Pelodiscus sinensis: one gene and its partners. The protein of the gene in region 2 interacts with the protein of the main gene of each other region in a biochemical or structural test. Links are inferred from orthologs where the notes say so. Each region holds a gene or a part of one and is shown on either strand. Other genes may lie near its edges. The genes, in order: MYB, CREBBP, TDG and CREB1.

What was found.
Region 1: the proteins of CREBBP (region 2) and MYB form a complex in vitro, tested with the Homo sapiens proteins (6 studies listed by BioGRID, with this or other methods). The link is inferred for Pelodiscus sinensis from reciprocal best matches to the Homo sapiens genes CREBBP and MYB.
Region 3: the proteins of CREBBP (region 2) and TDG form a complex in vitro, tested with the Homo sapiens proteins (2 studies listed by BioGRID, with this or other methods). The link is inferred for Pelodiscus sinensis from reciprocal best matches to the Homo sapiens genes CREBBP and TDG.
Region 4: the proteins of CREBBP (region 2) and CREB1 form a complex in vitro, tested with the Homo sapiens proteins (15 studies listed by BioGRID, with this or other methods). The link is inferred for Pelodiscus sinensis from reciprocal best matches to the Homo sapiens genes CREBBP and CREB1.

The regions. Positions count from the first base shown.
Region 1 is NC_134713.1:96,421,670-96,428,916, reverse strand, and holds the start of MYB (transcriptional activator Myb), read right to left. Parts: upstream 3,014-7,247; 5' UTR 2,837-3,013; coding exon 2,681-2,836; intron 1,210-2,680; coding exon 1,138-1,209; intron 428-1,137; coding exon 335-427; intron 1-334. UniProt on the Homo sapiens protein: Transcriptional activator; DNA-binding protein that specifically recognize the sequence 5'-YAAC[GT]G-3'. Plays an important role in the control of proliferation and differentiation of hematopoietic progenitor cells.
Region 2 is NC_134726.1:3,552,946-3,560,009, forward strand, and holds the start of CREBBP (CREB-binding protein), read left to right. Parts: upstream 1-4,049; 5' UTR 4,050-4,763; coding exon 4,764-4,848; intron 4,849-7,064. UniProt on the Homo sapiens protein: Acetylates histones, giving a specific tag for transcriptional activation. Mediates acetylation of histone H3 at 'Lys-18' and 'Lys-27' (H3K18ac and H3K27ac, respectively).
Region 3 is NC_134711.1:98,313,298-98,320,621, forward strand, and holds the start of TDG (G/T mismatch-specific thymine DNA glycosylase), read right to left. Parts: upstream 3,017-7,324; 5' UTR 2,968-3,016; coding exon 2,858-2,967; intron 1,686-2,857; exon of another isoform or gene 1,496-1,685; coding exon of another isoform or gene 1,473-1,495; intron 1,263-1,472; exon of another isoform or gene 962-1,262; intron 1-961. Other genes in the region: UQCC6 (ubiquinol-cytochrome c reductase complex assembly factor 6), read left to right, coding at 3,641-3,748, 4,919-5,014. UniProt on the Homo sapiens protein: DNA glycosylase that plays a key role in active DNA demethylation: specifically recognizes and binds 5-formylcytosine (5fC) and 5-carboxylcytosine (5caC) in the context of CpG sites and mediates their excision through base-excision repair (BER) to install an unmethylated cytosine.
Region 4 is NC_134717.1:75,871,918-75,879,866, reverse strand, and holds the start of CREB1 (cyclic AMP-responsive element-binding protein 1), read right to left. Parts: upstream 3,013-7,949; 5' UTR 2,808-3,012; intron 1-2,807.

The DNA of each region.
Region 1 (7,247 bases), on a different chromosome or scaffold from region 2:
AGTTTCTCAAAACCGCTGTAGTAGAGCTGATGTGTAGGCACTGTTTCATATTTTCTATTTCTATATTTACACAAAGGAAAAGGCTTTGGTAATATAAGGCATTTCTAGTATCCATTTAAATGTACAATGTTATAAGTATTATTACTGGATCTGTGTGGAGTACTTTGAAACTGTACCAGGAAGCATTATATAAAGTATTGATATTACTGGGGCCAGTCTTCAAGTCCTTCCTCAGGTAGTACTCCCACTGAAGTTATTGAAGTCTAGATGAATTTTATCCCAGTTATGACTGCAGTATTGGGCCTATGGTTAAGCAGAAGGAAAAGTTGATTACCCGCTGATCCTCTTCTTTAGTCCAAGGACCTTTGATAAGTTCAGGATTTAGTACTTTCTGCCATCGATGCTGGCACTGCACATCCGTCCGATTCTGAATGCACATAAAATATACAAATTAATCCCTTCTCAAATAAGATAAACGAATTGTGATATTTCTTCCTAGATGCACTTGCTTCCCAAACAGACCCTCCAAGTATCTCATTGCCAGTTAATACAATTAAACTGCAAGGGCATGACTGAGACAAGATTGAAATGGGGGTCCTGAGAAATGGATAGTAAGTATTCTGCACATTGAACTAGAAAAGCCTACTTCCATAACTGTCACTGTATTATGGCAACCAAACATACTTATCCTTTGACATCTATTAACATAACACTTATTCTTTTAAATTTATCTTTATCTATTGATTTTGAACAGTAAGAGATCACAAAAGATATATCATAAGTAGCATTTACTTTTGATCACAACTAGAGTTTTTTCCCTGGACTGAGAAATTTTTGTTTCACTGGCAGATCAACCATCTGCTCTATAACAAATCCCCCAAAAATTCTTTACATTTCTCCTCCCTTATCTGAGATGAGTAGTGAAAGAAATAAAAATAGAGCATAAAAGATAAGGTATTCAACAAGGCATTCTACTGTATTATAGCTGTGTTTCTCAAGTTCCCAATCATGGGGGGAGAGAGCTGTATATGACATGAAAACATAGTTAAGAAATAATGTCTCACATCTTCCCTTACTTAAAAATGGGTGAAGCAGTTGTCATTTCTACAAATGAAAAGAGAAACAATGTCCACTTACAGGAAGGAAATTGGCAATAACTTTCCAGTCTTCTGTACCATTCTGTTCCACGAGTTTCTTTAGTTTTTCATCCTAGTTTTTTATAAAGAAAACATTATCAATGCTCGAATCACTTAGTAATGCAAATAAAATATATCAGTCAAGCTGAGGTTAAAAAAAAGAAAACATTCCATGCTGCTGAATTTGTATCCTCTTCTTTCAGGGATCCAGTACTGACATAAAAGAGTAGTCTCTGGCCTGATTATGGTTTTTTTCTTGCCAAATGCATCTCCTCATTAGGTAGATTTTTTTTTTATTCAGTTATGGGAAGGAACTTAAATATATTATTTGGGCTTCTTGACTATGCAAATTATGCTGATCTGCACTTTATCAGCCAAGGCAATATAAATTACTATTTTTGGACAGGGATTTTCAAACAAGTCTAAAGGAATTAGGTGTCCAATGTCCACTGAAATTCAATAGAGTTCAGGTGTCATAATTTCTTAGGCTGTCTTCAAAAATCTTTAAAGATTTTAAATGCAATGTTAATCATGATACCTCACACGATTCTATACTGAATGCACAAGTAATTTGCCATATTTACTGCTGGTATAAATGGGCAAAACGCCTAAATGAGTGAAGCTCCATTTACTTCAAAAGAGTTCTGAATATTTTCACCAGCAGAGAACATGGCCCATTATCCTTAATGGAAGATCCAGTAATTTAGGCCTTAAAGACTAAAACCAGCCAATTCAAACATCAAGAATGGTAAAGGTACTATAATAACAATTTGAGCTTTTAAAAAATCTTAGAATAAGTGGCCTACTGTTTATATATCAGTGTGAATCACTGGTGTTGAACAAAACCACGTATCATTCAAACAACTGAATTAACACATTTCACACAAAAAAATTAAACCACAATAAATGACGATGGATTATCCACCCCAATAAATGATCTCTTTAACATGATAATTTACACAGAAAATAGACAAAAGAGCACAATGACTAAAAGCTACCAATGCATACTCTTATACTTAGTCTTTCAAAAGGGACATGTTTAATGTCCGTTTGTGGTGCTGAATAATTGTTTCTTCCAGATATTAGATATTGCCTCTTGGAATCACAATCCCAGTATTAAAGTACAAACTGCAACTGACCCCTTTAAGAGGAGTGCAAAAGTTTGCACCATAATTGTTTGCAGCTGTCAAGATAGTGACTAGACGTCATTTCTTACATAGCAACCATTTTCAAACAAAAAGGGCCAGCAGTAACAATCAAACATTGCTACAGGTAATTTTAAAATTAGTTTTAACTAATGCATAGTTTTAACACCTGTATTGCAAACAATCTTGCTGGAGTCAAGGATCAGTATTTAAACTTTTTTAAAAAAAATAATAACCTTCAAAGATACATCTAATTTTATGTATATAATCAAGTTCTTCCCTCATACATATACATAAGATTCATCCTGAAGTTGATAACTAATTAAATCTGCACGAGAGAAGAATGTGATCAATTTTCTCTCTTTTTAACCCAAATGTAGTAAGTGAACCTTTTCTTACCTCTTCACGGGTCCACCTGGTTTTTCCTAAATGACGTTTTCCAGCCTTTGGAAGCAGACCATCGTAGTCATGATCATACATCTCAACATCTTCATCGTCATCATCACTACTATATATACTGCAAAAAGAAACATGAGATGACTTAGACTGGAACATGAAGATTTAAGTTACTGAATTACAAAATATATGAAAAACAACAATCTTCACAAAGGTTATACAGATAAAAGTTTGAAAACTTGCACAACGAGATTTTGTTCTGCATTCTGTTCTACTATTCTGAACTGGTTCTGCTGTTTTTGGTATCCACAGATACAAGCAAAGGGCTGGCAACCTTCTTATTACTGTACATGTTTAGACCTGCTCGTACTGTTAGATCAGTGGCAACTTACACACTTGGCAGTCTTTCAACCAATGAAAGTTTCAAATTAAAATACAGTGTTTAGAACAATAGAGAGAACAAGAGGCTATGTCCTTTTCACAAGTGCAGAAGCAAAATCTTTAACATGTTCTATACATTTTGAGTACTTACTCAAATCTGTATATTTGGTATTTTATATACAAATAGAAAAATAGAAAAATTATTCAATAATATATTTAGTCATGATTTTGGGATTAGAAGACCAAAATATTGAAGGGCACAGGTTTTTCAACACTAATTAAAAAGAAGGCCATCAAGTGATCACACTATTTTGTAAATAAATTCTTATCATATGTGCCACAGTTCATGGTTGATACAGACAAAGCTGAGGTCAAGTACAATATAAGATTTCCATAGTAATCATATGAATGATCATCTTATATAGAGTATTTTGCTAACTTTATAGCTTTATTACCTTTATCCCATTTCTGAATACTCCATACTGTTTCTGAAATATTCTAGTCCTCACCTAATTCATGACTGAGGGATTTCCCCAGAGGCTATGTATGGGTAAAAAGAAATCTACTGCTGTTTTCACAAACAGCAATCACTCTATCCTGCTAGCTAAAACTGAAGTGTTTTGCAATAGGAGTTGTCTTTCTGTTGGGTAATGTAGCTTTTCCAACTCCAAGATATAAACATCACTTTTGAAACTTCAACAAAGAGATGACATCTCCAGTACTATAGAAAAAACAATATAATATTTGATTAATGGCTGTGACATATGGAAGAAAACTTTAGATACAATTTCAAAAACCTTTTGTGGTAAACAGCCTTATTAAATAATCCACACTAACACTTCCATTAACAATAGACCAGGCACTAGTCGTCCTGTTAATCTTGATTTTCAGATTGCTTTAATTTTAATGTATCAAAAAGCTTAAACTTTTGATATATTAGATTAAAATATCACTAAGTCTTCAGCTATGTCTTCTAGCACATGTTGCCTATCAAAGAAAATTGCTACTTAAGAGGTTTTTCAGCATCTCCAGTGATGCATGTGGCCTATTTGAGAGCAAGTCCCAAGCAGCTAACAAACTGACAAAACAATAATTCCATTCTTAATTAATTAACACTATGTCTAGGTAGAGAGGACCATGTGACAAGATAATTAACTCACAAAGACTTATGGAATATTTAGGCACTGCTAGTGACTTCAACTCAGCCCAATCCTGCAGCTCAAAAGAGTAGTTCTTCACAGTACAGTAGTAGTCTCACTGAGGAAGTGGGTCTGGCCCACGAAAGCTCATCACCTAATAAACCATCTTGTTAGTCTTTAAAGTGCTACATAGTTCTGTCTCTTGTTTCAGCTAGACCAGACTAACATGGATGCATCTCTATCACTGACTCCAGTATGACTACTTATATGAGTAAAGGTTATAGAGTCCTATTCATATGTACAGAGTGACAGCTGTAACTCTAGTTCTTTGCTGTTATTTTTTTAAAGTCAGATTTCTACGTGACACATGAAGACAACTGTGTGATTGCTGCTGATGTTAAAGGAAGTTATGTAGCTAAATCACCAGGTATCATCTGAAAATTGGTATCACTGATATTGAAAGTACCAGGTATAACCAGCAGGGTGACATTTACCAGTGCTGCCAAATGTTCTAGGTTCATCAATGGCACATGGCATAAGTGAAATTGTAGTAGAATATTAGCAATGAAAATTTTAATATTATTTTAAGGTAATGCTTATGATCTAAATTCCTTCTTTACCTCGGAATGACCTCATAGTGACATAAAGAATGAATAACTCACACTCTGTGTCTTTTGTGGCAGAAGAATAAGAGGGGAGGGGTTGTATAGCACCTTCTGCACCATATTTTGCAAATCTGGTTTCTAGCAGATGTCTGAAAAATTTCTGAACATCTGCCTAAACAAAATCTGACTCCAACAACAAATGTACTTGCCAGTTACCAGTGAAATGGACTAAGTCAGTGAAAGGGTTAATGATGCCCCCACATGCTGGCTTTCTGTGCCGTTTAAGTACTCTACAAATATGAATGCTACATTTTTGGTCAAGGAAACCAAATTGTGCAATGATAAAAAGGGGGGGGCGGTGGAGAGGAAATGACTTGCTGCTGTTACTGTGATTGAAGAAAGTAGGCACAAACAACCCAGGGGAATCCACTTTCGTTGTTTTGACTGATCCACCTTGCCGATTTCTCCTTGCAGAGCACTCCACGAAGCCGCTTAAGCGTTGCAGTCTAGAGTTTCCCTTCTTTCACGAGCACATTCCCTATGCAACCAGAGGGAAGGTATCTGCTGCTCCGCAGCCCTCTGTGAACACAAACCACCTGGCTAGCAAGGACCATTCTGAAAGCTGCTAAGCAACTCCACTTTCCTCCCGTCTCTCCCGCTCATTCAGTTCCTGTAAAACGCAACTGACCCTTTCGTTTTCAGGCCTGGCTTCCTCCACCACTCCTGACAGGCTCATTCTGCCGCTCTGCAAAGTCAAAAGAAAATACAGACTACCCACTAGGCTCGCTCACCCCCACTCCACCTCCCGGCTAGCCCCAAAGAGACAAGCGAGGCGGAGACAGACTGTGTCCTCTCTCTCTCTGGAGGGACAGGATGAGTAATTCATAGCCCGTCCGTCCTAGTAACACACTCGCTCTCATTCTCAAGTAACAACCTACTTTGCACGGAGCCCCCAGCCCGAGCCTCCTTCTAGATTTCACACACTGGGTAATTTAAGCCTTTTCAAAAGCCAGCGATCGGCAACAAGAGGGGGAGAACCGCGGAGGGGGGATTTACTTTTCTGACCCAAGCCCAGGAGGCGGGAGGGGGTGCTGGACCGAAAGGAGAACGAGACTCTCCACGTGTCCGACCGCCAGTCCAGAGATAATTGGAAAACAATCCTGCGCTGTGTCTGTAACAGCAGCCACCACGAGGCGCTCAGACCTCTCCCTTCCAGTGTGCAGCACGCCACCCCCAGAGGGAAGGGAGCAGCACAGGATTCAGTCACCCTCGGCGCACACACCCAGCCACCATAGCACAACTTGGGGTCCCCCCCTTGCCCTATGCAAAAGCCCATTCCCCAACAGGAGGAACGGGCCTGCTCCCGGCCACATGACAGCTCCTGCCAAACGCCTGTCTCCTTCTTCCCTCCTCACCCCACCCCCCTCCTGCCAAAGTCTAAGTTGCTCTCAGCGTGCTGCTAAAAAGCTTGCTCGGGCTCCGACATGTGCAGAGCGGCGTGTGCATTAAAAATAAAAGCCTTGCAGGGCATAATTATAACCCGAGAGGTGAGCGGGGCAGGGTTGGAGTCATTAAAAGAAAGGCTCTGCAACTGAGGGGGGGGGGGAACTTTGCTCCCTCCCCAGTGCCTGCTTTTCACGCCGCCTGTCTGCCACCCACCTGACATCCCACCTCCACAAAGAATGAATGAAACGGGAATGAAAACTACCTGCAGCCACTAAACAAGTCCGACATTTTTGGGGCTTACATCTGCCATCTGCTTAGCTCCTCCAGCCCGAACAGACCGCAGAGCAGCTCGGCACAGATCGTTAAAGGCAACAAGTCCAAGTGGGAATCTTGTGCCCATTTTTTTTTCTAATGTGTAACCACGCGTGCCACGCACGGCCCTGGGAGATTTCTGTCTGAGCAACTTGCAAGATGCACTGCAAAATGCAATCTTCCCAATCTCCTGAGCCTTTTTGGAAGGGAGTGCGGGGTAGCACAGAAGGAAGAAAGGAATTCCTAATACGTTATTCATTTGGTCTTGCAAGGTCTGTTTAGGTTTCCATCTCCACTTCCCTGTGCAGTCTGACAGGCGTGGGAAGGCTCTAGCAAACCACTCCTGCAAAACTTAACCAAAGCAACCAAACAACCCCCAAACACCCCCTCCCCAAATCCCCACTCGCACTATCCATAGGCTGTTAAACATACGTACAAACACGCCACATGCAAAGAGTTTACCTGTGCCTGGGTCTCCTGGCCATCCTCGGACTAGCCACTGGGAAAGGAAGGGGGGACCTGTGCTGGCTGAAGTGCTTTGCTTTCTGTGCTGCTTAAAAGTGCTCCACCGCCGCACAGCGAAGTTTTCAGGAGCCGCAGCAGCAGCAGGAGGAGGAGGAGGAAACAGGTTGAGATTAAAGAGTAAACTCTGTAAACAGAGATGCCATCAAACAAAGGGCTTTCTTG
Region 2 (7,064 bases):
GAAGTGGGTTCCAACCCACGAAAGCTTATGCCCAAATAAAGGTGTTAGTCTTTTGCCATAGGACTCCTCATTGTTTTTACAGTTTGCTGTCTTTTTCACAATGTATCCAAACAGCCCATTCGTTTTCTAACTGCTTCTGTACTCGAGAGAAATATGTTCACGGAACTATGTCAGAACAGTCCGGAGCTACTATGCCACAGCGATAGCCACCATCTTTGCTAAAACACCAGGGCTCGAACCATGGTCCCTTAAAGCTAAAAGCACAAGCTGCTACAGCCAAAGCTTTAGAGCAACGGGCTGTAACAACTCATATCCTCTGCAGCTTGGAACAGAGCAGGACCTGTAACACACATACCCCAGTGGGTTACCCACTACCACTGCAAATCCATATCCTAGTAACAACGCAAGGTTTATCATCCTCTTGTGAACCAGAATATATTGGTTCGGAACTGGAGGAAGGATGCTGTGAACTGCTATAGATTCTGGTAAACCCTTTGTTTCCAAGATCATTGAACACAGATGTGGGAAGTGAGAAAACTCTAGGTAAGGATTGACCCAAGCCAGGGTCCAAGTTTCACTGATTGAGCATTTGAAAAATAGAAAAAGTCATTAAAAAAGTTGAGAGTTCTGCAGCCCCGTATCACTTCTGACAAGCAATGTCTCTCCTAGCTGCCAAATCCTTCTTCCTTCCTTCCTCCATGTATTTCTTTTCTTAAAATTAGATTGCAAAGCTGTCTGGGGGAGGAACTGTGTCTTGAGATGTATTTTTGTTAATATGCAAAGGGGAAGTGCATATTGGATGTTGTGAAGACCAGGACTTGAACAGGGTTAAAAAAGAAGTAGGTAAATTAATGAAAGTTAGGTCCATCAATATTTATTAGCAGGGCTTGACAAGCGGCGGCGAGCCCTGCTCGCCAGCTGCGCGGTTTGGCACGCTGTGCATGCACAGACCGCGCTGCGCATGCACAGATCGCGCTGCGGCGCCATGCTGGGCTAAAATCTACTCGCCACAGGCGAGTAGATTGCCCTAATTGTTGAGCCCTGCTTATTAGCCAGAATGGGTAGGAATGGTATCTCTGTTTATCAGGAGCTGGAAATGGATGACAGGAGAGAGATCACTTGATGATTACCTGTTTCTGTTCATTCCTCTAAGACACCTGGCATTGGCCACTGTTGGAAGACAGGATACTGGTCTAGATGGACCTTTGGTCTGACCTAGCATGGCCGTTCTTATGTTTCAGAGGGGTAGCTATGTTAGTTCGTAACTGGAAAAACTTAAAAAACAACAAATAGTCTTGCAGCACCTTAGAGACTAACAAAAATGTAGATGGCATCATGAGCTTTATGTATCACGAGTATTATATTATTTTGTGATGGGTGTGCATACATTGCATGAAGGCAGCAAAGGAGTGCACCGATAGGTTTGTGTTTTGGGGACGATGTCTGGGGGTGTGCACATGCTATAGGATGCCAGTGTGAGGCTGAAAAATGCGGGGAAGCTGCATGATAGTCATGTGGGCAAGTGTTGTGTGGAGGTCTGGGTTCTGCAGGGATTGGGTACATGTGGGTGGAGAGCATCACTTAGACATTTAGGAACCACAGGGTGGCAGCATGGGGGCTGTGGGTGGACATCATAGAGAAGTAATGGAGGGGACACAGGCTTGTTGTGTGGGAAGGTACGGACACCACAAAGGGCATTATGGAAAAGACAGCATGAGAGATACAGGTCAGCATTAAGGGGGTATGGGGGAATGTTGCTAAGAGATTTGGGTGCCGTTGTGTAGGCAGGTTGTGCGCTATTTTTCATCAATGAGCAGAGCCGGCTCTAGGTTTTTTGCCGCCCCAAGCAAAAAATTTTTTGGCCGCCCCCCCTTTTTCTGTTCAGGGAGGGACTTGGGGACACAGGCACTGTGAGCACCAGAGTTCCCCTTCCTTAGACAAAGGGAGAGGGAGAATCACCTGGGTCCCAGCCAGGGGTGAGGTTGTCAGGACACAGCACAAGGGGGCTGGGTTCCTGGGCAGGTGTGTGGGGGAGGGGAGGGAGGGGGGGAATGTTTAGAGAGCCAGACAGGGGATGGGGATCCAGGCGGGGGGAGGGGGGAGAAGAGACGGGATCCCAGCAGGATTGCAGGGGGCTAGGAGGAGAAGAGAGGGGGGAGGAAGTGGGAGGGAGGGGGGGTCACAGGATAGTGGGCAGGGGGACAGCCAGTCAAGGGGGGTTCACAGGCAGGAGAGCTGTGGGGGAGAGAACACAGGCCGGAGGGGTGGGAGAGGGGGAGTGGTGGGAAGGGTGCACGGGAGCAGGGATTGCCGGCCGGGGGCGGGTGTGCACTCACGAAGGCAAAGAAGAGGCCCTCAGGCCCAGCCTCATCAGCCGCAGCCCCCTCTCAGGAAGTACCCAGGGCTGCCCACGCAAAGCTCCCAGAGCTCCGGGGCCAGGTGCAGCCTCCGAGCAGCCAGACACAAGGCTCCCTGCTTGGGAGTTGGGGCCCCGCCGCGGCTGAGCTCCAGTGCCCGCCGAGCCCCTGAACTCTGGTCCAGTGAGTTGGCTGCCGGGAGCAGCCACCATGGCCGTGGCCTGCCCCGCCAGGCTTAGCGTCACCAGCTGCGGCTGCCCTGTGCTGGGGCTAGGTGCTCCGTCCTCCCAGCGCCCCACCCTCCCAGAGCTCTGGGGCCAGGTGCAGGCTCCGAGCAGCAGAGTGCAGGGTTCCCAGCTCAGGGCGGCCTCCGCAGGGCTCCCTGCTGCCCTGCTCCTCCTGCCAGCCAGAATGCCACCTCTGTCAATGTGCCACCCCAAACACCTGCTTGGTTTGCTGGTGCCTGGAGCCAGCCCTGTCAATGAGATCAGGGACGGGTGACGAAGGGACGCCGCCTGGGTGCAAGAAATTTGGATCTACTGCAGCCATGGGCAACCTAGGCTAGTGAGTGGGCTGTATTAGTGGTCCTCCATAATCTCAGTGGTCTGGAAGATTGTCAAAACAACGAGAAGTCCTGTGGCACCTTGTAGACTAACAGATTTATTGGAGCATAAGCTTTAGTGGGCAAAGACCCTCTTTATCAGATGCAAGATTGTGGTAACCAAGACGGTCTCCTTGGTCAGGGTGGCTTTGCTAACTTCTGAGGGGTATGCTGATTGAACAATAGCAGTGCTTGGATTGGATGCAGAGGGGGCGCACGGCTCTCACAGTCTGTGTTGTGTGCAATCAGCACGCACCTCCCTCCATGTGCCCTTGCTCTATGTGTGTGTGTCACTTAAGTGATAATGGTAGGAAAGAAAACTATGTGGAAGGAAACCAGCAGACACTGGCAATCATGGACAAGGGTAAACAAAATGACTCCCGGGTTGCACGCAGAGCCCTGATGGGCCGCAGGTTGCCCACCATGGATCTGCAAGGAAGCAGCAAGTGAAGGGTATGGACAGATAGGGCAACGAGAAGGCAGCGTGGGGAGTGTTGCAGACTGTTGCACTAGTATTATTGGGGAGCAGCATGGTGCAGAGGCCAAGGCAACAAAAGTCCAGCTTGGTACTCTCTGTAAATGCTGGTGGGTGATGCACCCTGTCAGCCCGGTGCTATGATCCCTGGGAGGGGGTGCACTGCTGTGAGGCACAATGGCAGGGCAGGCAGGAGTGCTCTGCACTGGCGGAACAGTGGGGTGGGTGCTGCCCCGTTGCACTGGTGCTGCAGAAGGGGGGCACAGAGCATGGGGCCAGGTGGGCAGGGCAGGGAGTAGCATGGGAGTGGTGTGGCTGCTTGGTGGAGGCTGTTGCCCTAGTGGGATGGGGTTAGGGACAGCAGAGGTGCCCCTCCGAGGTGGCTCCAAAGGGGTAATTGAGCAGGAGCCAGAGGGGCGGGATTACTGTGCACGCTCATTTACATAGGTTTGCATCCTCTCCTCCCCCAGCCAGGAGCTCCAGGGCAGCTCGGCGCTTTCCGGCAGGGCTCGCCTCTTTCCGGGACGGGGCGTGCCCCCCTGCGCGGTGACGCAGCACGCCGGCCCCGCCCCCGCCCCGCCCCCATGGTCCCTGGAAAAGAGAAGAGAAAAAAAAACTTTTTTTTTTAATTGAGGAATCAACAGCCGCCATCTTGTCGCGGAGCCGGAGCGCGGCGCGGGCGGGAGCGGGGCCGGGCCGGGCCGGGCCAGGGCAGCGGGGCCGCCCGCCGGGGCACGGGCAGCCGCACGGAGCGCCGCGGAGGGCCAGACGGGCTCGGCCAGCGGGGCAGCGCCGGCCGGGAGGGGGCGAGCCGGGCGCCGCCGCCGGGACCGGGCGCAGTGGCCGCCGCGCTCGCTGCGCCGCGCTCATTGTTGTCCCCGCCGGCGGCGGCGGCTGCGGGCGGGCGGGGGTCGCGGGCCCGGGCGCGGGGCCCGGCGCGGGGCCGGGGCGAGCCCCCCGCTCGGCGGGGAGGGCGGGGACGCGGCGCGGAGGAGCGGGGTGGGGGGGCGCTATGCTCCCTGAGTGCCTGACTGACTGAGCCGCCATCCGGGCACCTCCTCGCGCGGCGGGGAGGGCGGGGGAGCGGCCGGGAGGAGCGAGCCAGGCGGGGGGGCGCTGGGCTCTCTCCCCACCCCGCCCCGAGCCCTCCTCCCTGCGGCCTGCTGCGGCGGCGGCCCGGCCCGGGCATGGGGCAGCGGGGGCCGCCGCCGGCCGAGCACTGAGCGGCGCTGTTCCCCCGGGCGCGCGGCGCGGAGTCTGCTGGCGGCTGCCCGCGGCCGGGCGCGCAGGACCGGGCGGCCCCGGGGCTGGCACCGCCGAGCCGGCTACCATGGCGGAGAACTTACTGGACGGGCCGCCCAACCCCAAGCGAGCCAAGCTCAACTCGCCGGGCTTCTCCGCCAGCGACAGCACAGGTGAGGGCACCGCGCGGGCAGCGCCGCTTCCCCGGGGGCAGCCCCTGCCAGGGGAGCCACCCGGCCGGGGCCACTCGCACTTCGCCGGGACCCCGCCCCCGCCAGCTGACCAGAGTGCAGCAGCCTGCAGCTGACTCCCCAGCCTGCCAGCTGCGCTCCGTGGCTCGGACCCGGCGTGTAACTTCAGCCCTCCACCTTAGAGCTCCACCGGGGAAGGCTCTAGGGCGTAGCACGACCTGGCGAAAGCGAGGGGCTCACCTGGCGCTGGCTTGTGCTTTAGAAATAAGTGTAAATGAAAGAGAGAGCTTCAGCATTGGTACATTTCTCTCGGAGTGGGGCAGCCTCTTCAAAGGCGTTTTGGTTTCCCAGGTGCGTGTAGACAGATTCCTTCGTGCGTAGCCTATGCGTGTGTAACTTTGACAAGACCGCAGAGTTACCTAGTGCGCTGGAATAGCTCCTTGTCTGTTCATAAATGTGTGAATGAGCAGTGTGAAGTGCTTTCGAGAAGTAGGCATTTTTCCATTACAGTAACTGCTTTCAAAAGTTTTGGCGTTGGGCAAGAGAGGCTTTTTTTTTGGGGGGGGGGGGAGAGGATTTTATAGACTTAAGGAAGGAAATTTGACAAATATTCTTCTAGGCAGTGTACACTTTTCTTTTGTGCACGTTTGTGTGTGCGATCGCTTTCACCTTCGCTTTCATCATTGTCATTCATAACCCTGGTCGTAACCCAAAAACTAGGTTTAACAAATGGTAGATTGTCTGCTCTGAGAATTTTCCTAAATATGTACGTGCCTTGTTACACATTTCAGTTTTCTTGTATACATGAAAACATCCCCACTAGTCTCGTAATGTTTACATATAATAAACTTGACAGCAGTGTGTCTTATAGCCATCTTTCACATAATAGGTGGGGAAGAGATGAGCGGGGGGGGGGGGGGGGGGGGGGATGATTGTACAGTAATTGCCAAAAGACCTGTCAGGTGTAGTACTCAGCCATTTTAACTCTTTTTGGAACTGACTGGAGTTGAGAGTGAATGGCAGTAGACACAATGCTGTGAAATGCCCTGTTAATCAAAATAACTGTTTGTAATCTTTCAAATAGTCACTTTAGGTTGCTACAGTAGTAGGTAAAAGATTTGAAACTGACTTTTGAAGGTGTTATTTTTGGAAGTTTTAATTTGAGAGAAACTCAGTTTTGCAAACTTATGCATTTTGGGTAGTCTCAAGGAACTCAACAAAATCTGTAGGATAGATACAGTTAAGCCTGTGCAAAAGTATTTGTGAGGCTAGGGCCTCAGTCAATGAAAAATGACACTGTCAGAGTAAGTACTGTATCTGACATATAGAAGGCAATACAAATTGTTAGGGTTCCAAAGTAGAGTATTAGTCAAAATGCTGAACCTAAAATGGGATCTTGTCTCTTCTTGATTAATAACAAAGTTGTGTGTCAACCATAAATGTTGCCTTTGACCAGTTTCTCAGATTGATAGATGTGAGCCACGTGCAACAGCAGGCTGCATATTGTACTGTTGAATGATGATTAAGGTTTCAGTCATGCAAATGCTTACACACATGCTTAATTTTACTATTGTGAGTAGTCTCAGTGGAGGATTGGACTATATATTTAATGAAAACACTAAGTTTTCCCTTGTTTCCCTTTCACATGCTGTTTTTTGTAGTAGTGAGTAGGTTTACTCAATCCGTTTTCTTGATAAATATTACTTCTTAGCTTGAATCATTCCAGTAAAAACATTTTTTGTTGAGATAAGATGTAGAATGTTCTTTCAAATTATTCGAGAGTGATGTAAGAATTATTTGAGGCAAATCTTCATTTGTGTATTGGAGTAATGTTTGCATGATTGAAGTTAAGTCTTGTGAACTTTTTTATGAATGTGATAGTTCTGTAAATTTTGAAATTATACATTGAGTTAGCATTTTAATAATACAAAATCAAAATATATTGATAAAAGTAAAGCCTTGTGTATATCATAAATCAGTATTAGCTAGATGACTAAAGTGATTATGTTCTTACACCAGCAACACAGTATGCTAATCAAAGCTAGTTACTACCAATACTAATTGTCAGGTTTCATCCCTATAACTAAGCTAATGAGTAAAATATCCATGGGAAAGGGTTTTCATTTATCTGCCTAACCAGTAGGATCCGTGTGTGTGTGTTTTATCAAATCCTCCGAGTTTCTTGTTGCATAATTTTA
Region 3 (7,324 bases), on a different chromosome or scaffold from region 2:
TGACAACCAATGGCAATGTAATGCAGCATGCCCAAAGGCGCTGCATTGCCCTAACTATATCAACCTAAATGCTAAGGGCTACCTAAGGAAGGGCTCTTGTGCATTTCAAAGTGGAAGCACTCTCATGGAGCCTGGAGTCAGCGGGGGGACTCCCCAGCTGACTGTGGGTTCTGTGGAAACACAGCACGGAGCCTGGAATCAGTTGGGGAGTCTCCAGCTGACCCCAGGCTCCTGGTGGTGCTGCCACTTTGAAACACTGCCTTGGCATTTCAAAGGGGCAGCGCTGCACAGCTGAGCCGGGATCAGCTGTGTGGTGCCTCCCTTTGAAGTATCCTTTCTCTCCCCCGCTTTGCTACCTCTAATAGAGGCAGCAAGGGGGGGAAGGGATTGAGTAGTCAACTGACTATCAGAGAAGCATTTGCTTATTGGATAATCGACTAGTCTTTAACATCCTTAATATAGACACAAAGTTAGGTCAGTAGAAGGCAGCTTAACCTAGTGTAGACCATGCCTTAGAATTAATTGATTAATAATAATATATGGTGATATACCTATCTCATAGAGCTCGAAGGGCCTTGAAAGATCATCAAGTCCAGTCCCCTGCCTTCACAGCAGGACCATCTCTGACTGATTTGCCCCAGATCACTAAATGGCTCCCTCCAGGATTAAACTCACAACCCTGGGTTCAGCAAGCCCATGCTCAAACCACTGAGCTATCCCTCCTCTCCTCTCACTGTCTTTTATTGGGCCAACTTCAGCCGGTAAAAGAGAGAGACAAGCTTTCAAACTTACAGAGCTCTGTGACCTGAAGACGACCTCTGAGTGAGCTCCAAAGTTTTTCCTCTCTCTCTCTCTCTCTCACCCCAACAGAAATTGGTTGAGTAAAAGATATTATCTTTCTACCTTCTATCTGGGACCAGCATGGCTAGAACAACACTGCATACAATCAAGAACTACCTACCTGACTTTGCCAACTCCGAATTGCGTAAGCTTCCATCAAATTACTTTACTCTGTAACGCATACAGAGTGCGTGGGGCACTCGGGGATTACCAGTGTTACAGATGCCCAGGTGCTTTTAGGCAGTTAGCCACTGTGCACCCTAGTTAGTATCTTTACGCAGCACTGTCCCAAGCACCGGCCAGTGACAGCGGAGACGCTCCTGTCGCCAGTATAGAAGCCGGCAGGGACTCCTAGTCCAGAGATGCTTCCCCACAGCTTCACACAGACCCTCCCAACATCGAGTCTCTGCTCAATACAACCCCCAGGTGTGGGCGCCCCCCCCCCCGCACACAGACAGCTCCCCGCTCGGCACACCCCGAGCAGACACTCACACCAGCCCGCCCCTCCCGGACACAGCCCCCTGCTGCCCCGCCCCGCCCACCGGGCCCGCGGCTGCCCAGGCCCCGCGCGCACCAGCCCGGCCGCAGAGGCGGGGGCGGGGGGGGCGCCTAGGCCCGGCTGCCCCGCGTACCTGCCCGGCCTCTCGGCTTCCATCCCCGGCCGCCAAGAGCGCGAACTCCTCCTCCCCCCCCCCCCTTCTTCCGCCTCACGCACCGCGAGCGCCGACCGGCCTGCTGGGCGAGCGGTCACGCGGGGTGGACGGCAGCCAATCAGGAGCAGGCTCCACAGCGGGCCGCGAACCTTGCGGGGGTGGGGGAGAAGGCCTCAGAGACGGGAGGGGGAGGAGGAAGGAGAGGGGAAGGGGGCGGGGCTTCTCTGCGCCCAGCACCATGGGCCTGTGGGATGACTGACTGGCAGCCAGACTGACCCAGAGCGCCTGGCACGCGCCGGGATGGGATTGTTCCATGGCTCTAGTCCCCCCCCCCCGGCCCGATTCCCACTGATCATAAGGAAACACCACAGCGCCTATGTTGTTCTGAAGCTATCGGGGGAGAGTCAAGACAGAACGCGATCCGTGTGTGCCAGACACTCCAGCTAACCTGCCCTTACTCCTGACTGCTTTGTGCACACCAGTGCCCGTGCATGCCCGAAAACTAAAATAACACAAGGCAAGAGAAGAAATTCAATTGCTAGTCTATCGCAACTTACAAGAGATTCCAAAGGCATTAATAGAAAATGCCACTGTATTATTATTCCACAGTAATGGTTCTTAACACTCAGCAGAGGCCCTAATATATTTTCAAACGGCTGCTGCGGCTCTGATCATGCAAAACACTTTCGTGCATGCCTTTCTGTATGCATATGAGTAGGCCCATTGAAGCCAACAAGGCTACTTGGGCTTCAAGTTAAGCACATGCAAAAGTGCCTTTCTAGATCATATCTCACCTGTATAAAGTTAAGACGACATGTAAATGTTTACAGGAATGGGTTCTATATTCTTACAAGGCAATCAGCGTTACCACAGACTAAGTACTGCTATCACAAAGTTTCAAAAGTCACGAATCAGGCCCCAGATATGAGACTGACATAAAATATTTATTTGCCCTCTTATCTTTGAACCTCTAATTGTCACATTTCTAAGCTTTCTCTCCACAATCATGAGGGCTTGAAACTTTTAAAAACAACAACTGAGATTTTCACATAACCACACAATGCCAAGAACTGGGGACAACAAATGAAAAACACCAAACACCCTAAACCTTGGCAAGTCAGGAATTCCTAGACTGTTCCCGGATAGTGAACATAACTAGTTATTAGTGCTAGAGGAGTTACTATTCTGTTAGTACAGTATTATTGTGTTGATAATGTAATCGCTCAGTCAATGCTAATCTTAGCGCAGGGTGGTTGCTACAGTGGACTAAGCCTTATTAGGCCACTGTAGGGAATTCAGAATAACGCAGAAAGTCTCTGAGAGATGTATTAGACTCTCAGGGATATGAATGAACACACACTTACTGAGCCAAACAAGGAAACAGTGAGGGAACCTCCCAAGTCACCGCAGCATCCTCTCTCCCCAGCCAGTTTGGAAGGGAACCTTGCAGCAGCAGCTCCCTAGGATCTCCCATTTGGGGGAAGCAGAGGCAATCTGGCAAGAGACGTAGTTCCGTAGCAGCTAGTATAGTCACGTGAGAGATGACAGCCAAGCCCTGAATCACATGATTTGCTGAGAGCGGGGGGGGCTCCTCCTTTCCTGCAGGGGGACGGGCTGGCCTAAGTTGTGTCTCCGGGTCGTGGTATTTGGGGCTTCCTCCCCAGATTCAGTGTCCTGGGCAGGGTACATACAGGTGATCAAACTAATGTAGAGTTTTGATGAATGCAAGTTGGTGCATTTCCCATGCCTCAGTCACCCGCAAATTATAATTGATACGTGTAGCAGAGCTGAAGTTGCCCTTGGGGGGGTAGACAAATAATTCTTCCGGCTGATGTCCACGGGGAGCACTGTTACCTCTGTAGTATGTTGAAGTGATTTGAACACTTTACATTTTCTTTACCTACTTTTAAACTTTTTAAAATTAACTTCCATTATTGCAAATTTCTTCCTCTCCCCCATCTCTTTTTCCTACCGAAGGTGGATGTGATTTAATTAAATGTAGAGGTTCTTGTTAACAGATACCAACAGGGTGGATTGTATTTCAGCATGGGCTAGTTGGCATACTAATTATTGCAACTTTTTTTCTAATTTTTCTTTTCCTCAGACAGCTGGAGTTCTCGAATTTTAAGTGCAGACTGCATTTCATCATGCCTGCTGGGGTATCTTGGTCTCAATACTTGAAAATGATCAGTGCGAGCACATTGGCTATGTTTGCAGGTGCAGAAATAGTGCATAGATATTACAGACCTGATCTTGTAAGTGATTTAAGGCTTTGATTTCTTATTTCATTTATTATAACTGCTAAATAATAATATGTGTTTTGACATTTCTTCGCTAGGAAAACTGTTCAGTGTACAAAAGACATTAGGTCAAAAATACCAAAACACTTCTATATCAAAAGGTTGATATGTTCGTTTGTCATTCCAATAATAAGGAAAAAGGGCACATGACTTTCTAGCAGTTTCACACATTTGCCTCGTCTCAGGATTTTTCTTCAGTTTTGAAGAAACGGAAGTTAAAAGAAATACCAGGTTATTGATAATGTAAAATAACTTTACTTTGGGATTATAAGATTATTTTCTGCTCTAGACTAGAAGAGCTAGAATCCTAAATTAGTAATTCATTCAAGGTGTTTTTTTCCCCTCCCTATTAAATCTGAGTCAGATTGGTTCGGAAGCAGATTGAGTAGTGACCAGCTGCATTGTGTGCTGAGGAAGGACCAGAGAGTACATAATAAGCCTCTGTTTTTAAAAGAAATAGTCACAGAACCAGGAAAATGTTAACTTGTTTTATTAAGATCTAAAGCTCAGAAGTGATCTTTTGGGCAAAGTTAGATCAACATACGATTTGGATGGAAAGCGTGAAATTTTTGTGGATTCAATCCTACACCAGGTGAAATGCTGCAGTTTTAGTAGAGATTTGTAGTTCACTTTGTCTGGAAATTCAAGGAGTGAAAATACATATAAAGTCAGATCTTGGAAAAAGTATCACAATGGTTTGATATTCGTATAGCTTGATTTTGGCTTTCATATTTTTCCAAGCTCTTAGCATTTACAACCTTTTCTCTTACTTTTGTCTTTTACATTGGGAAACATTCCCTGTTCCCACAATATTCCTTTGTTTCAGAAAACAGAGTAGAAAATAGCATGGTTTTGCCTATTTATACACTCACATAATCTACTACAAGTTGTACCTCCCTTAACCAGGACTCTGTGATCTGGCAATATCCATGGTTTGGCAGGATCGTAGAATCCAGGTATAAGGAGGTCAGGCCGCAGGGCAGGAGTTGGGGACGAGGGGGTGAAATCAAACTGTAACTTGAATGTAGTGTTCTTTTTTGTCTCTAATTTTCTGGTTGTTCAGTTTTCTGTACCTCAGTCACAGATTTTGAGCATTAACACCACTTTGTTTTATTTATTTTATAGACTATACCTGAAATTCCACCTAAGCCTGGAGAACTGAAAACAGAACTCTTGGGTCTAAAACAAAGACAGAGCAAAGTTCATACCTCACAGCAATGACCAGAGACTACTGAAATCATGAAGGGTAGAATTTTCAGAAGGGCCTAAATAACTTAGGGTCCTGAGTCTCATTTGCTTAATTTAGGGACTCAAGCCGTTGAGACTTTTGCACTTCTGAAAATTGTACCTGAAGTCCATATATGAAATAAATCTATCTTAATATTTATTTAAAACAAAACAACTTGTTTGTAAGAAATAAACAGTATTCCTTATACAATTATCAGAAATCCAGTCAGTTGTTTATTAAAACTCTTATATTCTATTGAAAACAAAAATACGGTTTTTTGAGGGAGAAAGATTTATTTATTTACTGTTGAACATTGGAATATCTCAGAATGGGCTGCTTTAAATCTATCACAAAATGTAAAGATGAGAAGAGACTGAAAATAAAAGCACTAAGAGGATTTAATGAGTATAAAAGACAGAATAAAAAGCTTACTTAAATGAAGGTGTCCTAAAATGTTTTACATTGTGCTATTGTGAATATCCAAGACCAAATATCATTTTTAGCAAACCTTACACTAATAAGTCATATATATTTAATTATAACAAATATTCTAATGGGTGTGATTTCTTACCCCCTCTGACACGTCTGATAAAGCATGGAGTTCATGCCTGAAATCTGTGTGATCCTCTTCAAAATCTCTTACTGCTACTGTCTTCTATTTCTTTAAGAGGTAAATGAATCAGTAGGTATACCCAGGGCCAGCTCGAGCCATTCCTGCGCCCCGGGCAGTGGGCACGTGACGCATGCCGGCTCCGCCCCTGGGCGCATGGTGCATGCGTGGCCGCACTCCCGGTGCACTGCGCCCCTTACAGCTGCAATCGGGTACGCAGCGCCTGATGACAGCTCTAAGGGGTGCCGTGCGGCTGGGCACGCAGCGCCTCTTACAACTATCATAAGGTGCCTCTCGTAGGTTGGTGCCCTAAGCAGCTGACCGGCTAGCCCCGCCTTAATCCGGCCCTGGGCATACCTTGTCCTAAAGTCGGTAGTAATACTAAGCCCTGATGACTGGCGGTAAAGGATCACAATATATCCTAGTTCTCCTTTCTGCCCAATTATGTAAGCATGAAAGGAGGTTATTTTTTTATTAACTTGCTGAAATCTACCAAACTAGGTTTGTCAACTGAATAAGTGTTCCAGCCAATATAGAATGGAATTTAATAATAAACTTTTTCTGAGTCCAGTGAATGTTAGGTCATTAGCATTAATGCTGGGTTCTTTTCAGATGAACTTTTAACTTGATCAGTATTATAAATCAGAATCAGTGTTCCCTGTATGCTGAGCATTGAGGCAGCTTCTCAGGAGAGATTCAAATGCTGCCCAGCTGATTAGCAGAGCACCCAGTATGCACACAACCAGCAGCATGTGTTTCTACTGGTGGTGCACATCCATATATGCCCTGGTGCATGCAATTTATTTAATTTATTCTGCACATATATGGAAATAATTATAAGGAACATTGATCAGGACATTTGCACATTCTTAGCTGATCAATATTTTATTATTCCACTCAGAACCAAATTAGTATTGTGGAAGAAAACATTGTCCTCACTCTGCGTTTGTAAGCAACAAGTAGCCAGAGGCAATTTATTCGAGCAATATTGCAAGGGAAGACAGCATAAGCAGATCTTCAAATACAAAACAATTAAAACCCAACATATATACCTTTCTGTTACATATAACATCAAACAATTACTTCCCTGCCCACTCAATTCCCATAGGATACGGTCTTATCTTCTCACTGAGGTCAGCATTCCATTCTTATCTTGGAGAGCGAGGCAGAGAGGCGAACACAACGTCTCTCCTAGCTCTCGCGTTAGCAAGAGTCAGAATGAACCAGACTCTTGCTCTGCTACTGACAAACCCTGAAATGGACACACAAATCCCCTCTCCCCTAGTCCTGTTTCCACAGTATACAACCAACAGTTAACCACTCAGGTGTAGCCAAATCAATGTTGTAATTGTGTACTACACATACACAATACAGTCTTGCATGCAATAATCAGACATAGGGCTCAGCAGTTAAGTCAAGGCATGATGCAAATTACCAAGGTTTCTTACAATGTTTGTTTATGATAATTAATTCTTAATTCTTGTACCTAACAAGGGCTGTCAATTAACACGCATTAAAGCCTGCGATTAACGCAGAGCACAGTTGACGCATTAATTTTTTTAACATGCGTTAATCGCAGGTGTTTCCGTGGTGCTGCCCCTTTGAAACGCTGCCAGGGCATTTCTAAGGGGCAGAGCGCAGTGGGAGCCTGGGATCAGTTGGAGTCCCCAACTGACCCTGGGCTCTGTGCAGC
Region 4 (7,949 bases), on a different chromosome or scaffold from region 2:
AGACACAAGAACCACTGGTTAAGTTAACTGATTTCCTCCTCCCCCCACTGAAGTTTTAATTTCTTATACTGGGCGAATCTAGCCATCGACCCAGACACACTGGGTTGCTAGCATGAGTTTATATATTTAAAAAAAAAAAGTTTTGGAGGGAAGAGATAAGCCACACAAACTTCATAAAAACCACATAATTTTTAAAGTTTTAAACCTACTATAGGATTCACAAAGGTGCTGGAATCCTACTCTACTTTTTAACATGGGCATGGGCCTCCAAACTAGTTCTGGGGCATTGGAAAAGCAGCTCCAGGATGGAAGCTGATAAATCGGGAGGGCCATGTTCCCACCAACTGCCTCCCCTCACTCCCACTCCTGGCTCCAGCACCACTGTATGTATCATTAATCCCAAAAAATTGAAAACATTGTGCCTTTAAATTAGATGAAAAGACTGTGCAAGATGCAGAATCCTAGAAGTTGAAGGAAGGAAGTGTACAACAGCAAGTGGAAAAACAAAACAAAAATTAAGAATTTCTAGTATGGATACTGAAGCTGCAGGGAATAAAAAACTAGAATGGCAATGATGGGGGTAAGATACCTAAAATATTTTTCAGAATTGTGTAATGTGGTATATATATCAAATATAAAACAGGATAATGGAATAATACAGTTTTAGTACAGGTGCAACCCAACTATCATTGTGTCTGCAGCATTCTCATTTAAGAAACCTGCAGGTTAGTTGCAAGACTGACCACTGTATCAAAATTTCCTACAGTTACACTTATGGGGAAATTCATTTTTAGTATTGAAGTATTAACAAGATTACATCTTCCTACTGCTACATACCAGGAGTAGGGTGCAGAGATCTGTATCTTGATTATTAGCTTCTCTGCACTATTTCAATTGAACTGCCATGAAAAGCAATGCTTTGGGAGACCTGGACAGTTTCTTCTGAACATGTGCATACCCCATTTTAAAAAGAGCCCATCAAATCAAGTCTGCCCCAGAATAAACTCTTGAAAAGCTTTTATTGGAAACCCCCCCCCCTCCCCCCGCCACTAGTCCTGTAACAAACTAAAATACTACATACGTTTCTACATAGTTTAGTTACAATTCCTTTAACCAGATATTACCGGACCAGTACCATATCAGTCAGAAAATGAAATCGACGATAAATGAGTGAAACTAGGTAGGCTGTGTATTATCCAAATAGAATGGAATAAGCATAAAGAGAAGGAGCTTTTCAAATTCAGTTTTAATCCAAGATACTTGTGCAATACATGACAGTGTGTGTTAACAGAGCTGACCCTTAAGACAGGGCTGTCTGCCGCAGCACTTGGTATGCTTCAGGGAATAAAGATACACCTTTCGAGAGGTCTGTCTGACACGAATTAAAACATCGCCCCGCTCCGGGAGCTGTGACTGCGGGGGCGGCCCACTCTGGAGGGCAGGGGGAGAGAACCGCTGCGGGCCAGCTGGCCATCGGGGCGGGAATCAGGAGGAAGCGCGATTCGCGGCGCGGCGGGCTGGGAGGGCACCGAGCCGCGGCGGGGCCGGGATTAGCGGGGGCGCGGGAGCCCGGCCCGGGTTTCAGAGGCGGCGAGGGGCCGGAGCGGGCTGTGCGGCGGGGCCGGGATTGGCGGGGGCCCGGCCCGGGTTTCGGAGGCGGCGAGGGGCCGGAGCGGGCTGTGCGGCGGGGCCGGGATTAGCGGGGGCGCGGAGCCCGGCCCGGGTTTCAGAGGCGGCGAGGGGCCGGAGCGGGCTGTGCGGCGGGGCCGGGATTAGCGGGGGCGCGGAGCCCGGCCCGGGTTTCGGAGGCGGCGAGGGGCCGGAGCGGGCTGTGCGGCGGGGCCGGGATTAGCGGGGGCGCGGAGCCCGGCCCGGGTTTCGGAGGCGGCGAGGGGCCGGAGCGGGCTGTGCGGCGGGGCCGGGATTGGCGGGAGCCCGGCCCGGGTTTCAGAGGCGGCGAGGGGCCGGAGCGGGCTGTGCGGCGGGGCCGGGATTGGCGGGAGCCCGGCCCGGGTTTCGGAGGCGGCGAGGGGCCGGAGCGGGCTGTGCGGCGGGGCCGGGATTGGCGGGAGCCCGGCCCGGGTTTCGGAGGCGGCGAGGGGCCGGAGCGGGCTGTGCGGCGGGGCCGGGATTGGCGGGAGCCCGGCCCGGGTTTCGGAGGCGGCGAGGGGCCGGAGCGGGCTGTGCGGCGGGGCCGGGATTAGCGGGGGCGCGGAGCCCGGCCCGGGTTTCGGAGGCGGCGAGGGGCCGGAGCGGGCTGTGCGGCGGGGCCGGGATTGGCGGGAGCCCGGCCCGGGTTTCAGAGGCGGCGAGGGGCCGGAGCGGGCTGTGCGGCGGGGCCGGGATTAGCGGGGGCGCGGAGCCCGGCCCGGGTTTCGGAGGCGGCGAGGGGCCGGAGCGGGCTGTGCGGCGGGGCCGGGATTGGCGGGGGCGCGGAGCCCGGCCCGGGTTTCGGAGGCGGCGAGGGGCCGGAGCGGGCTCCGCGGCGGGGAAGGACCAGCCTGAGTGGGGGCAGCCCGGGCCAGGGGCACCAGACACGCTGCCCGGACAGCGGCTGCCGGGCTCTCCGGAGGGTCCCTGCGGCCCAGGCGGGGCCCGGCGCCGAGCTGGCAGCCAGAGCGGTCCCGCCGCCATTGCTCTTTGTTCGCCGCGCTCGGAGCGGCGGCGGCGGGGATGTTGCAGGGCTCGGCGCGGCTCCATCTTTAAAGCGGGCGCCCCTCCCGCTGGCGGTGCAGGCCGGGCCGCCTGTTGCTCCCTGCGCCCCGCCGGCTCCATCCCCCCCCGGCTGGGCGCCGTCCTCCTCTTACCGGTTACGGGCTGCTCCGTCACTGCTCTCGCTGCGCCTAGGCTCTCGCCGCAGTTTTATTCTCTCCCCCACGTAACACACCGCGTCAAACTACACCTCGGCCGCGTCACTCACACGGCTCCCCCAGCCCGGCGACAGGCAGCGGCCGACTGAGCGCCAGCCGGGGAGCGAGCGCGAGCGCGCCGCGGCCCCTCGCGGAAACTGCCGAGCGCGAGCGGACAGGGCCGAACACGCGGCGGGCACGGAAACAGCCGAGCGGCAGCGGACAAGGCCGAACACGCGGCGGGCACGGAAACAGCCGAGCGGCAGCGGAAAAGACCGAACCGCCGACCGGCTGCGGGGGTGCTCGACCAGGCACGGAAACACCCGAGCGGGAGCGGAAAAGGCCGAACACGCGGCGGTCACGGAAAGGGCCGAGCGGGAGCGGAAAAGGCCGAACCGCCGACCGGCTGCGGGGGTGCCCGACCAGGCACGGAAACAGCCGAGCGGCAGCGGAAAAGGCCGAACCGCCGACCGGCTGCGGGGGTGCCCGACCAGGCACGGAAACAGCCGAGCGGGAGCGGAAAAGGCCGAACCGCCGACCGGGCGGTTCCAGCGGATGAGAGGCTGGAGATGAGTCAGTGCCCTGTAGCCAAGAGGGCGAATGGCAGATTCGGGTGTGTGATGGGTTTGCCGGTGCAAGCCCCCCTCTCGGAGGAGTGCCCTTGGCAGCTTCTCCTCGGACTGGTGATAAATGCCGGCAATGGAGATGGATGGAGCTGTAGCACTTAGAGTTGCTAACCCACACTCCTGAGCTATAGACGTGCGGACCATTGTCCCGATTTTTCCACGACAGTCCCAAATTTAAATGCTCTGCCCCGGCTCCCCATGAAGTAGTGAAATGCCCTGGAAAGCCCTGCCAGACATTTCACTGCTCGGTGGGACACCAGCGTGCGGGAAGAAGCTCTGCCCCCTCCCATTGCTCCTCACGCGCACCGCAGCCTCCTTCCCCTTCCCCCAACAGGGCCGTAGGGCAGCTGGGCCAGCTTCCAGGAATGGGAGGCCCCTCCCTCGCTGCCCTCCCTCCCCACGCAGAACCGCCTGGTGGCCCCACCGCCTTCTCTTCTGGACTGCCTTGGAGCCCTGGTCTGGTGGCCCCACCGCCTTCTCTTCTGGACTGCCTTGGAGCCCTGGTCTGGTGGCCCCACCGCCTTCTCTTCTGGACTGCCTTGGAGCCCTGGTCTGGTGGCCCCACCGCCTTCTCTTCTGGACTGCCTTGGAGTCCTGGTCTGGTGGCCCCACCGCCTTCTCTTCTGGACTGCCTTGGAGCCCTGGTCTGGTGGCCCCACCGCCTTCTCTTCTGGACTGCCTTGGAGCCCTGGTCTGGTGGCCCCACCGCCTTCTCTTCTGGACTGCCTTGGAGTCCTGGTCTGGTGGCCCCACCGCCTTCTCTTCTGGACTGCCTTGGAGCCCTGGTCTGGTGGCCCCACCGCCTTCTCTTCTGGACTGCCTTGGAGCCCTGGTCTGGTGGCCCCACCGCCTTCTCTTCTGGACTGCCTTGGAGCCCTGGTCTGGTGGCCCCACCGCCTTCTCTTCTGGACTGCCTTGGAGTCCTGGTCTGGTGGCCCCACCGCCTTCTCTTCTGGACTGCCTTGGAGCCCTGGTCTGGTGGCCCCACCGCCTTCTCTTCTGGACTGCCTTGGAGCCCTGGTCTGGTGGCCCCACCGCCTTCTCTTCTGGACTGCCTTGGAGTCCTGGTCTGGTGGCCCCACCGCCTTCTCTTCTGGACTGCCTTGGAGCCCTGGTCTGGTGGCCCCACCGCCTTCTCTTCTGGACTGCCTTGGAGCCCTGGTCTGGTGGCCCCACCGCCTTCTCTTCTGGACTGCCTTGGAGCCCTGGTCTGGTGGCCCCACCGCCTTCTCTTCTGGACTGCCTTGGAGCCCTGGTCTGGTGGCCCCACCGCCTTCTCTTCTGGACTGCCTTGGAGTCCTGGTCTGGTGGCCCCACCGCCTTCTCTTCTGGACTGCCTTGGAGCCCTGGTCTGGTGGCCCCACCGCCTTCTCTTCTGGACTGCCTTGGAGCCCTGGTCTGGTGGCCCCACCGCCTTCTCTTCTGGACTGCCTTGGAGCCCTGGTCTGGTGGCCCCACCGCCTTCTCTTCTGGACTGCCTTGGAGCCCTGGTCTGGTGGCCCCACCGCCTTCTCTTCTGGACTGCCTTGGAGCCCTGGTCTGGTGGCCCCACCGCCTTCTCTTCTGGACTGCCTTGGAGTCCTGGTCTGGTGGCCCCACCGCCTTCTCTTCTGGACTGCCTTGGAGCCCTGGTCTGGTGGCCCCACCGCCTTCTCTTCTGGACTGCCTTGGAGCCCTGTGCGGAGCCCTGCTGGGGCTCTTTGGGGCAGGGCGCACTCAGGCCCGGCAGGTTTCAGGACTGGAGCGGAGGCTGCCTACCATGCTATTTTTAGTACTGCGGTCTGGGTCCCTGCAGGCAGCCCGGGCTCCATCTGCAATCAAGTGGCAGCCGCATGAGGCATGTTCCAGCTGGGGCAGCCTCACCAGAACGGGCCTTATTCAGCTGTCGCTTGACTCCGGCTGGGGGAGGGCCCGCGGTAATAAAAATAGCACTCCAGCCCCGCAAACTGCTTTCCACATGGAAGGCAGGTGAGGAGAGGGGCTGGGGGAGACTAAGGGGAAGGTGGGAGTGAGGAGAGGAAGGGGTCAGGGACGGAGAAGAAAGGGGCAGGCACCAAGAGGCAGGGTGGAGGAGAGACAAATGCCAGGGGGCCAAGAGGAGACAATGAGGAAAAGGGTGGGAGGGAAGGTGTCAGTGAGGGTGGAAGAAGGGATGGGACAGAGTGATTCTGGGAGAGGGGTAGGACAATGGGGGCAAGAAGGAGTATGGAGAGGGCAGGAGTGGGTGCTAGGAGAAGGAGTTGAAAGGCGTGGGCATGAGGCAGTCAGGGGATGAAGCAAGTCGTGTGAGGACACGGGGTGTGAGGAGAACTGGGGCAAAGGGTGGTGGGGGCATGGTCCCCAGGGAGAAAGAGGCCAAGGAGGGCAGGGTCAGTGAGGGAAGGTCACCCGGGAGGGTGCAGGGGTAAGGGAAGGTGCAGGTGCCAGGGGATTCTGGGGATGAAGCAGAAGGGCAGATACTGGAGGGGAGGGTCGGGCACCAGAGGAGAGAAGAGAGAGGCAGGGCAGGTGGGTAGAGGAAGTGTTAGGAGAGGGGATGAGGAGGGGTAGTTAGAGATGATCAGAGTGGGGCTAGAGGAGGAGTGGGCACAAGGGGAAGAGAAGGGCTGGTGCAGGGGAGAGGGGCAGGTCGCAGGAAGGCTGAGGGGGGTGAGAAGGGCAGGAGCCAGGACAGCAGAGGAGAGTGAGGGGTGGGGGGCAGCAGCACCAGGGGAGCAGATGTGGGGGGAGGGTAGGAGGCATGGCAGCAGAGGGAAAAGGGAGAGGTTTATAAGATATTTATTAATAACTTGGGTGCCACCGTGGCACATCTGAACAAGCCACATGAACTCAGTGCTGGTGCACAAGACAAAATTCACTCTGCTCATGGGAGGAAACTCTTAGAGGGAACACTTCTCTTAGCTTCTCCCCCGAGTGAATCCAATGCAAACTGGGTTAGTGCCATTGCAGGATAGTTGCATGTGGGGGTCCTGTGGGGGCCGAACTTGTTCCTATTGGTACGAGGATGGTGGGAGGAGTTCTTAGAGGGGTCACACGGCACCCTTTACTTCTGGTCACGTGTCCATCTTGACCCCGAGTGTTACCTCCAGAGGCCTGGCTAATGGGGGTCAGAGGTGTGGTTAACAGGGGTCAGGGCGTGTGGCTAATGTGTCCCTAATTTTGGTTCAGAAAATATGGTCACCATACTTATTGTCCCATTCTCCTCAATAGGTCAGGCTTTCTGGTTGGGCTACATTTCCCATGTTGCACTGTAAAATGCCCATGTTAGTGAGAGGAAGCAGTACCTTATTGCCCCCGGGAAAACATTTTTGGGTTTTGATTTTTCATGAAAAGCTTGACATTTCCTGTGGAAAGCAGACACTTTTCCATGAGTGACAACTGAACTGCTGGCTACGGGAGGCTAGCCCCCAGCTCTAGCCCTTCCACATAAGACCCTGTCCCTTCTGTGACCTTGGAACTCAAGTCCTGCCCGCCCCACATTTTCCAGCTTCTGCTCCAGGCTGGGAGTATGCACAGTGCTGCTGCAGCCCCTGTCCCATGCAGCCCTAGGTGGGTGGGTAGCATGACACCAGACCTAGAGCCCAGAAGCTCAGCCAAAGTGGGAGCCTAAGGGTTCAGTGTGGACGGGCCTATGCCTGGCTGATTGGAGAGGCATAGCTTCCCCCAGCCTCCTCTACCCACTGCCCAAGCCTTTTTCATGAAAACAGCCATAGAATTGGAAACACAACTTTCCACCCCCCTTTAAAAGAGATTAAATGGAAAATGTTTGGCCAGCTGTCACAGTAATTCATTTTGCATTCAGGTTGGATTGCTATAATGTCTATGTAAAGTCTAGACTGCAACTCAGCTTACTTTCTTAGGCTTCTTGGTAAACTCCAGTTAAGAAAATCCTGCAAGAGAATGGAATCACATTCAACTAAAAATACACATCAGCACAATTTCTTCTGTGGATTAGGGTTGCCAGATGGTGTCAACAAAAGTACCGGACACGCTTGACATTACATCACAATCTACATTACATCTTATTTAGAAAATACCGGACATTTCTATTTTCTCATTGATATTTTCTCAATTTATTTCCCAAACAGAAAGCTCAAATACTGCACTGACCGGTTCAAAACTGGACACCTGGCAACCCTATTGTGAATACTTTGGAGAAACTGGAGGTGGTGGAAAGAGGACTTAACCCACAGTTAGGGTTGCCAGATGGTTGAAACAAAAATATCGAAACCCCCCTCCCTCCCCAAAAAAAACCAAACACCTGGAAAAAATTCTGTTGAAGGAAAAAAAGAAGGTGGGGGGAGACCAAAGTTGTTGAGCAACAAGAACAAGTTGGGAGCCAGGGGGGGCTCAGGGAGGGGGGGAGGCTGGGCCCTGAGTGTTTGTAGGTTGCCAGGTGCCCAGCATTTTCGCCTCCTGACTGGGGAAAAAATCAGAAAGTATTAGACATTTTAGGTGTCCGGTATTCTCTGCA